Linked DNA regions of Arabidopsis thaliana. The protein of the gene in region 1 interacts with the protein of each later gene in a pairwise test. Each region holds a gene or a part of one and is shown on either strand. Other genes may lie near its edges.

Region 1 (5,697 bases):
TTTTTTCTTGGGTGATATTGTAGGTGAAGAATCATCCCATAAAGGCGCAATCGCCTGAACAACCCGGTAGTGTGATCTTGTCCAAAGAACCATCACATGAGGTCTTTTGCTCGCTTTCTCTGAATTGTTTGAAACTGAATAATGTTTTTTCCAAGCCTGAATCTTTTCTTTTCGATTCTGTCTTGTGTTTGGACAGGTTGATTTTTCGCGTCACATTGGTTCGCTGAGCAAGGCACAGGCAAAGAAAGTAGCTCGTTTTCTGCCAAATCCAGAGAAGCATTGGGGTCCAAAGCTTAGGGCTGGTCGCCAGATTACGAGCAAACATGTATCTCTTATTGGTCATGAAGCAGTCAATGGTCATCTTAGCCAACACCATGAAGAACTTAAAGAAGAAGATGAAGAAGCAGAGCCAGAAGATAATGTCCAAGACAAGGTTGATCCAAAACGCCAGAAGACAGCAACAGATAATATTACCTCAACATAATAAGACAAATCACAAAAAGTTTTACAAAATAGATCAGATTTTGTCTACAGTCAGATTTGCCTCCTGATGAAGAACTCTGTTTTGTCTGTTGTTTCCTATATAATCATTTTTGGTAATACTTGAGACTTATGACCCATTTTTGTGATTCCTTCTGTTGTGATCTTATTAGTTTACTCATCTATAGCTTAACCGAACCAAACAGTAATTTAGTACCATGAAGAACTAAAAGAGGCAAAAGAAGCAATGTATAACAAGATATTGAAAGTAGATAACCACTTCTGATCATCATTAAATGAAGCAATATCATAGTACTTGAACAAACAAAACTACAACTATACAAACGCTGTAAACAATCTATTTGTTAAATTTACTTTTAATACAAAATTGTTTAGCAGTAACACCATTGGTCCTCTTCTTCTACTTCAACCCCACGCACGAAAGAAGAATCATCAAAAGGTTTCATTTCACTGTAAATCAAACCAAGCTCTTCGTAAATCTCTTCCCATCTAGGATGAGCCTTATCTCCAACGAGAAACACATGAAGCTCATCTTTTAGCTCAACCCAACTGCAACCAGGCTCCTTCTTAAGCTTAAAGCCTCTCATATTTCTCCTCAAATCTGAAACCTTTTCCCACATTCCTGCATCTGCGTATACATTTGATAAAAGTGTATAAGCTGAAGAGTCTTGTGGATCCAATCTCAACAGGGCAGCAGTTGCTTCTTCTGCAACCTCTACATTGTTTCTATGTATCGTGCAGACTCCTAACAGGGTTCTCCATATGACATCGTCTGCTTCAAATGGCATCTCTCGAATAAGCTCTAATGCTCTCTTGACTTTTCCGGATTTTCCTAATATATCTACCATGTTCGAGTAATGCGGTAGCTGAGGATCCAGGCCATAGTCTCTCTTCATCATATAGAAGTACTCGAGCCCTTTGTCGATCAGACCCATGTGAGCACAAGCTCGGAGTATCGATATGAAAGTAACGTGATTTGGTTTGATGTTTTCGAGTATCATTCTCTCAAACAGTTGTATAGCTTCCTCTCCTTTCCCATGATGTGCATACCCGCAAATCATGGCGTTCCAGGTCACGAAATCTCTTCTCAGCGACTTCTCAAACATCAATCTTGAATCATGGAGATCTCCACATTTCGAGTACATGTCAACGAGGGTGCTACAGATATACACATCAGATTGCAATTCTTTCTTGATGACCTGAGCATGAATCTGTTTACCTAATCCAGCGGAAGCAAGATTCGCACAGGTATCAAGAACTGTTGCATAAGTAAATTTGTCAGGAGTTATACCCATCTCCATCATCCGGGTAAAAAGCATCTGAGCATCCTCGCTTTGTTCCTTCATTACATATCCGGAAATAATTGAATTCCATGAAACACACATTTCCTGCAGTCTCTTATTGTGCATCTTTTCAAGCTCTTCCATTGTTCCCGAGACATTGGCTCGTTGAAAGAATCGACTATGTATCTTCTCCGCCTCTTCTATCATTCCACACTTTGAATACATATCGATCAGAGAGCATCCGACAGAGGAGTTTGAAGCCATTCCTGATTTGACAATGCTGGAATGGATCTCCATACCGTAACCTAAAGAACCACCAGTGCAAGCTTTCAATATGCTTCCAAAGGTAAACTCATCAGGTTCGATCCTAGAACGGAGCATCGAGACAAAAAGAAAAAGCGTTTCATATCCTTTTCCGTTCTGCTCATGTGCAGCTATAATCGCATTCCAAGACACAGCGTCTCGTCTTCTCATCTCATCGAATACACGAAAGGCTTCAGCCAGAGCTTGACATTTCCCATACATGTCGATAGCAGCATTTGCAACGCAAACATCTAGCGATAAGCTGCTTTTTATCGCCAAACCGTAAATCTGAAGCCCCTCTGAAAGTCCTTTCACCAAGGCACAAGCCCTGAATACTCCTGATAAACTTATCTCGTCGAAACCAAGACCCGATGACATGAGTCGGTGAAACAACAGTAGAGCTTTGAAACCATGTTCTTCTTGCGAATAACCAGTAATCATTGCGTTATAAGATTGCCTATTAAGATTTTCTGAGTTGTCAAACAAAATTTGAGCATCTTGCATATTATCACACTTTGCGTACATGTCCAATGTCGCCGTCCTCACTATACCATCTGCTGCAAAATCTGACTTCAAGGCATGAGCATGTAACTGACCGCCTAACCTCAATTCGGATAACGCAGCACATGACCTCAAGACGCTAGCGTAAATTGACTGGCTCACTCCAGCATTTACCTTTTGCATCTCCTTGAAAAACTTCAAAGCAAGGGACAACAAGTTATTCTGAACACAACCTGCGATTATAGCACTCCACGAGACAGAATTCTTCTCTGGTATACCTTGAAACACTCTAAGAGACTCGACAAACCTCTTGCCTTTTGCATACATATCCAACAACGCACTCGCAGCAACCACATCAGTATCACAACCCACTCGAACGACAATCCCATGAATCTGCATTCCTAAACTGGTATCCTCTAAAAAGGAACAAACTTTAAGAATAATTGCAAAAGTTCTACCGTCAAACTCAATACCTTCTCTCCCCATGTCAACGAAAACCTCGATAGATTTCAAACTCTCGCCGTTTTGCAGATACCCAGAAAGCATTGAGTTCCAAGACACAACATCTCTCACAGGCATCATATTGAAGAAAGAATTCGCTTTAAACATGTCATTACTCTTCGAGTAACCATTTATCATTTTGTTCCAAGAAACAACATCTCTCAGCGGCATTTTGTCGAACACCATAGAAGCAGACACGAAATCTCTTGAATTTGTGTAGACCTGCAGCAAACAGTTCAGTACGAATGTAGTCGGACGAAACCCAGATATTATCATATGAGCATGAGCTTGCTTGCCTAGCTCTAACGCTCCTTGCTTCGCACATTCCTTGAAAACAAACGAAAAGTTCGTCGTGCTAACTGAGTTCACTTGATTCAGAAAATCAGTGAAATAAGAAAAGCTTGGAACTCTCCGGTATGAAATTTTCTCTGTTAGACAACGATTGAATGAAACCACTGATCTGGTCATATGCAATAATCTGAGACTCTCCGCCATGAGTCATAACGAACTGAAACTCAGTGGTATCTATGGCGGGATTGAAACGATTACAATTGCTTCGGTTCGGTTCACTCGGTTTGAAAAATATATAAACCGACTGACTAGGCACTAGCTATATTAATCAAGCGGTTAACACGCCACGGGGAATCCAGTTTGGACTTTTACTATTCTATTAAATAATTAAAAAGCATTACCAGATCAACAAGGTCGTTGTAGTATAGTGGTAAGTATTCCCGCCTGTCACGCGGGTGACCCGGGTTCGATCCCCGGCAACGGCGTAATTTTTTCATCGTTTGTCTTAATCCACCTGCAAATACACGTCATCATATTATATCCTTTGTGTAGACGAAATCATACGATTTTTCCCTCTGAAATTTCCTTTTTCCTTTTTTGTCTTTTTTTTTTTTAATTAATTACTTTTCTCTGAGACACAGCAATGGCGTCGACGAAGCCCGATTCCGCAATCAACCTTGAAGAAGAGGCTGAAGGCGACGGTGTAGCCGTAGACGATCCGATTTTCATACCGGAGACCACGAACTTACTCGTCCGTTACTCGCCATTCGACGACAGGGACATCGATTGCAATCCTTATTTCCCTTTCACAGGCCCGATTTCAGATTCTGGATCAGGTTCTTACTCGGATTCTGAGCCCGATCCCAACAGCTGTCCCATCGATTTCTTCGATCGAGATTCTTCCGATGTTGACGTGGCTGAGTACTTGGAATCAGGAGGGCTGACCGCCGGTGATTATAATATTTGGGGCTTTTATGACCCCAAGGAAGACGAGGAAGAGGAGGAGATAGTTTTGGGGACTTCCGGGTCGGATCTGCAACCGGGTGATTCAGGGGAGCAAGGGCTTCGAGTGACCGGTATCGATTCAGATTCCGATTGTGAAGATGGCGTGTTTGATTTTATCTCTGAGGATAGTAGCGGGAATAGGGGAAATGATTCGGGTCGGGTCGAGGTTGGTACGGGTCTTCCTCCTGTGTGGGATCATCTCTTCGGAGAGGGAACCGTGTTGGCTGATGAAGAATGGGAGGAGGTGCAGAACGCGATTAACTGGACAGCTTTTAGTGGACCCGAAGATGAGGACGAAGAAGATGAATTGTCTTCACTATCAAGGGATGATGAAGAAGAAGATCATGAACTGGACTGGCAGGTTTTGTTAACTGTTAACAATGTTGTTAATTATATCGAACAAGCTGAAGGAATCATGCTAAACCCTGATGATATCGATCCGGATTATTACCTGTATCTATCTGGTTTGGATGAATTTGATGAAAATCATAGTGGACATTATGATGCTGATGCTATTCTTGGGCAAATGTTTGATGACGAGACTGGAATCAGGGGAAATCCTCCAGCAGCCAAAAGTGTAATTCAGGATCTTCCGGTTGTGGAGCTTGCTGTGGAAGAGTTAGACAAAGGGAACAATGTTTGTGCGGTATGCAAAGATGAAATGTTAGTGGAGGAGAAAGTAAGGAGGCTTCCTTGTAGTCATTTCTATCATGGAGAGTGTATCATACCTTGGTTGGGGATAAGGAATACTTGCCCGGTTTGTCGGTATGAGCTGCCTACTGATGATCTTGAGTATGAAAGACATAAGAGCTCAGAAAGGGGCGATACTGGTTTGGCAAGGAACGTGTTGCCGGGTAGATATAGTTAATTGAATATTTGAAGTGATCTATTCTTCAAGTTAATAGACATGGTTTCAGAGGCAAGATCCTTGAACCACTTTGTTTATGGTAAGCACTTATCGTGAATGTGATAATGTTTAAGTTGTATATATTCCTTTTGTTTTGTGAAATAAATCATGTTAAACTTTGAACCCTTATCTTGAAGTGTTTGTGAAGTTAATCCATCTTTCATAGTTGTTCTCGTTGAAGATCAATCATGGATTTATAACTAAGCTTCTTACTTCATTAGTTATTGACAACTCTTAAGCTAGTTTTGCATGATCTGGATAGATCTCTCAAGGTAACCTTTTTGTAATGACTTTTATTTTACAGACCCTGAGGTGCTACTTTGTTCTCTCAGTGAAACTTGTGCTTGCATTGTTGCAGAAATTCCAGAGTTTCTTACAGATTCGACGGAGTTTGTTGAACTGTTT
Region 2 (4,543 bases), on another chromosome or scaffold:
GGAGGTCATGAGACATACATTTCAAACTCCTTCTTGGGGCAACATTCAACGGTAGGAGGAGACAGAGAAGAAAGAGGATTTACTGGGACAGGAATCGATATCTCGAGTAACGACAATGCCATTACGGATGTAGTGATTTTCTCGGCTGGTATCGGTATCTCTTTGAATGGTGGTGCAAATATGGTTACGGGTGTGCATTGCTACAATAAAGCTACATGGTTTGGTGGCATTGGCATTCTAGTGAAATCACATTTAACGAGGATAGATAATTGTTACCTTGATTACACAGGTATAGTCATAGAAGACCCTGTCCATGTTCATGTCACCAATGCTTTGTTCTTAGGAGATGCAAACATCGTCTTGAGATCGGTACACGGGAAGATTTCCGGTGTAAACATCGTCAACAACATGTTTAGCGGTACCGCCAAAAACAACTTCCCGATTGTCAAGCTAGAAGGAGAGTTTCATGATATTAATCAAGTTGTGATTGATCAAAACAATGCAGAAGGGATGATGCTGAAATCAACAACCGGAAAGGCCATGGTTTCCGCAAATGGAACACGATGGATCGCTGATTTTTCCCCTGTTTTGGTATTCCCTAACCGGATAAACCATTACCAGCATTCGTTTTTCGCTCAATCCGGACAGATCCCTGCAAATGCAGTGACCAATGTCTCCAACAATATGGTGGTTGTAGAAACCGATAGAGCTGTAACTGGAACCGTGTCAATAATTGCTTATCAGTAAAACAACATTCTTCACATTGATCATATTCCTAATAAGAAAGCATGATTTGACATCTGATTTATACAAGTTCAGTTACAGTTTGGTGAGCTTGATACTAACAACTAATACCAGCAATCAGCAACCTCATCATTAGCGGCTTCTTCTGGCTCATCCGACTTCTCAGGTGGACCAGAAGTCCTAGGCAGTCCTTGGAAATCACGTTTACCTGGTTTCGCAATGTCTATATAAATCATTCTGCCATTGTACATCTGCAACAGAGGAATGGGAAACATTTAGGTTGATTTCAAGACATAAAAATGTAAACTTGTGATTGAAAGAAGCTTTTACCCGACGGTCCATGGTCTCTATGGCAAGAAAAGCATCATCTTGAGACGTGAATTGAATAAAAGCATAACCTTTTGATCTCTTCATTGCCTCATCTTTGATAAGCTTAACTGTTTTGAAGTATAAGAGTGAACATATCAATGCCATAAAACTGAACCTTAAAGCAACAAAACAGAGTAAAATTGAAACCGCAAACATACCTTCAGCTATCTCTCCAAAAGCTGAAAACTCTCTCTTTAGAAAATCTTCACTTGTAGAAAACGGTAAATCTACAAATTCAAAGTGAAGAAACATCAGAACCGTAGAGTAATTACCAAGTTGAAGTTACAACCAACTTCAACTTCACTAATGATTGCTACAAGAGCTTAGAGCTATCACATATGACTACCGTCACAATCCTGACTCAAATCAACTAATTTCAATCAAACCAGAATCATAAATTACTTTTGGAACAATAACAGAACCATGTCCTAATCTCAGCTAGAAGCGAATTCAAATATAAACCAAAAGATAATCTGAATCTTACTTCTGACCATGATTTTGCTCGCTAGAGGGTAATTAAAGAGCGAAGCTTTAATCTTTGGAAACCTAAGGTTCCTGTAATTAGGTAGAGAAGATGAAGAAGCCACAAAAGAAGGGAAAGATAACGTCGCCGACCACATAATTCACAGTCGCCGGAAATAGAGAGGGAGAAGAAGAAGAAACAAACAGAGAGTTATAAAACGACAGCGGTATAGTAAAAAGCTAAGGCCTAAGTTTTTTGGCCCAGTGATAAATTTGAAACTTTAGGCGGAAACTAAAAACATTTGAAACAATAAGGACTTAAAAAGTAATTTACTATTTATTTAGATATTGTAAAACCCACACAAAAACCCTAATTTCATTTCTCCAAAGCTTTCCAGAATACTCTCCACTCCTTCATAATTTCTCTGGCAACGATGGCTATGATATCTCACCGTCTCCGACGAGCTTTACTCACTGCGACTTCCTATGTTAACCGATCAATTAGCTCTTCGATCACACCAGCGTCTGATTTCCCTTCTGTGTCGGCGGCGGTGTTAAAGAGATCCGTTATAGGGCGTTCGACGGAAGTAGCTACTCGAGCACCGGCGAGACTGTTTTCAACGAGGCAGTACAAGCTTTACAAAGAAGGTGATGAGATCACGGAAGACACTGTGTTGTTCGAAGGATGTGATTATAATCACTGGCTTATCACTATGGATTTCTCCAAAGAGGAAACTCCTAAGTCTCCAGAAGAAATGGTCGCTGCTTATGAAGAAACTTGCGCCCAAGGACTTGGCATCAGGTTAGTAGATGAATTTTTGTCACTGCTTAGATTCGTTGCTTTTGGCTAAATTGTCCAAAAATCATTCAGTAAGTTACTTAAATGTGAGAACTTTACCATTGCTAGGGTTCCATTCACTGTTATATAGCTCTGCTTTGATTTTTGTGTATCTTCTTCTGGTATTGATATTGGTTAAGACGATTATATTGATTCATTTTTGGTGTTTATGGTTGAGTCAGCGTGGAAGAGGCTAAGCAAAGGATGTATGCTTGTAGCACAACTACTTACCAAGGATTTCAAGCAATCATGACTGAACAAGAATCAGAAAAGTTCAAGGGTATATAGTTCGAATCATTTATGTTTGTTTTCTTTTGAATTCAACTTTTTTCACCAGATATTGACTCTGTTATTGGTATATGTAAACAGATCTACCCGGAGTGGTTTTCATCTTGCCAGATTCCTACATTGATCCCCAGAACAAAGAGTATGGAGGTGAGCTGGTTTTTTTTACAAACTGGTCTTATTTTGGATATTTGTTGTTGGGACTCTATCAACAAAATTATGTTTCTTGTTTTCAGGAGATAAATACGAGAATGGAGTGATAACACACAGGCCACCACCGATTCAGAGTGGCAGAGCAAGACCTCGTCCTAGATTTGACCGTTCAGGAGGAGGAAGTGGTGGTCCCCAAAACTTCCAAAGAAACACACAGTATGGTCAGCAACCACCAATGCAAGGTGGTGGAGGGAGCTATGGTCCTCAACAGGGCTATGCCACTCCAGGACAAGGTCAGGGAACTCAAGCGCCTCCACCATTTCAAGGAGGTTATAACCAAGGCCCGAGATCTCCACCACCTCCATATCAGGCAGGTTACAATCAAGGCCAGGGATCTCCAGTGCCTCCATATCAGGCAGGTTACAATCAAGTCCAGGGATCTCCAGTGCCTCCATACCAAGGAACACAAAGCAGTTACGGTCAAGGTGGATCTGGGAACTATAGTCAAGGGCCACAAGGTGGTTACAACCAAGGAGGACCTAGGAATTACAATCCACAGGGAGCTGGAAACTTTGGTCCTGCATCTGGAGCTGGAAACTTAGGTCCTGCACCTGGAGCTGGAAATCCTGGCTATGGTCAGGGGTATTCTGGACCAGGACAAGAGCAGAATCAGACATTCCCACAGGCAGATCAGAGGAATCGAGACTGGAACAACAATAATCCAGCAGGCCAGCCCGGGTCTGACCAAGTAAGATCTCGATCAATAATGAATCTTGCATCTTTCTTTTTTGATATCCTCATCAGGCATTAAAGTACCCCATTTTCCCCATATTTGTTACTGAGATGGTCCTGTGTTTCAGTTTCCACAGGGAAGAAGGTACTAGACAGAGAGCATGCTGCAGTGAATTGAGCTGAATAAGGAGAGAAGTGTCAAAGGCCTTTTATTAAGTTTTACAGTAAATAGTATTTAGTCATCTTTCTACTTTGTAAGACAATAGTTAGTCCTTTTTTCTCTTAAGTTGAGCTTGTTAACGTTGTTGGTTGCGCTTGTGAAATTGAAACACTCTTTCTAGAAGTTCTTTTAAGACCTAATATGCTTGCTTTACCTGAGACATTTGGAATCGTCCACACTTGTAGCTACTGTATTCAGTCTACTAACCAAAAATCAAACGGAACTTTGAAGACCACTTTGAATAGAAATGATGAATTTTGTAAACACTTGGAGCTCTTTACATGGAGATAATGTTTCTAAAGCTAAAAGACAATACTTTCTTGTTTCTTCTTGACTGGTGGCAGTTTCGGTAATACCCAAGTAGGAGACTCGTTTAGCCACAGTGCTTCACCTGTCTCCTTGTGCTTGAAATCAGGGGCTTTTGCATTTCTCTTCAAAACAAAAACGATATTGGGACAATAGGTCAGTTTCTTGGAAAGATTGATGAAAAACCGAGCAAAAGATATTGGTATCCTACCTTGTCGATTCTATTGTCCCACCATTTATCTGGGTTCTGAACCAAGTCCTTCCATGATTCTTCTCCTACACATATCAGCCCAGATTTCAGTTTATACAAACATACTTGAACAAGTGCCACATAACTGTAAACAACTTTCTTTGTATAGTTGCATAGGAACATGGAAATGACTGGGAACTTTACCTTTAAGTTGTTTTACAACTCTGGCTTTAGGGACTAGAAC

Evidence for each region. The genes of interacting proteins can lie anywhere in the genome.
Region 2: the proteins of AT3G02330 (region 1) and MORF1 interact in a two-hybrid assay, tested with the Arabidopsis thaliana proteins (one study listed by BioGRID).

Annotation. Positions count from the first base shown.
Region 1 is NC_003074.8:473,009-478,705, forward strand, and holds AT3G02330 (Pentatricopeptide repeat (PPR) superfamily protein), read right to left. Parts: upstream 3,655-5,697; 5' UTR 3,585-3,654; coding exon 873-3,584; 3' UTR 766-872; downstream 1-765. Other genes in the region: AT3G02320 (N2,N2-dimethylguanosine tRNA methyltransferase), read left to right, coding at 24-101, 197-484; AT3G02340 (RING/U-box superfamily protein), read left to right, coding at 4,024-5,253. UniProt on the Arabidopsis thaliana protein: Involved in C-to-U editing of mitochondrial RNA. Required for RNA editing at 8 sites in 6 different mRNAs in mitochondria.
Region 2 is NC_003075.7:10,843,552-10,848,094, reverse strand, and holds MORF1 (multiple organellar RNA editing factor), read left to right. Parts: upstream 1-1,947; 5' UTR 1,948-2,009; coding exon 2,010-2,377; intron 2,378-2,595; coding exon 2,596-2,693; intron 2,694-2,782; coding exon 2,783-2,848; intron 2,849-2,934; coding exon 2,935-3,662; 3' UTR 3,663-3,693; downstream 3,694-4,543. Other genes in the region: AT4G20040 (Pectin lyase-like superfamily protein), read left to right, coding at 1-747; AT4G20030 (RNA-binding (RRM/RBD/RNP motifs) family protein), read right to left, coding at 849-995, 1,075-1,181, 1,272-1,340, 1,598-1,733; PTAC9 (plastid transcriptionally active 9), read right to left, coding at 4,106-4,234, 4,321-4,385, 4,504-4,543. UniProt on the Arabidopsis thaliana protein: Involved in organellar RNA editing. Required for the processing of numerous RNA editing sites in mitochondria. Binds to the mitochondrial MEF19 and MEF21 factors, two pentatricopeptide repeat-containing proteins involved in RNA editing.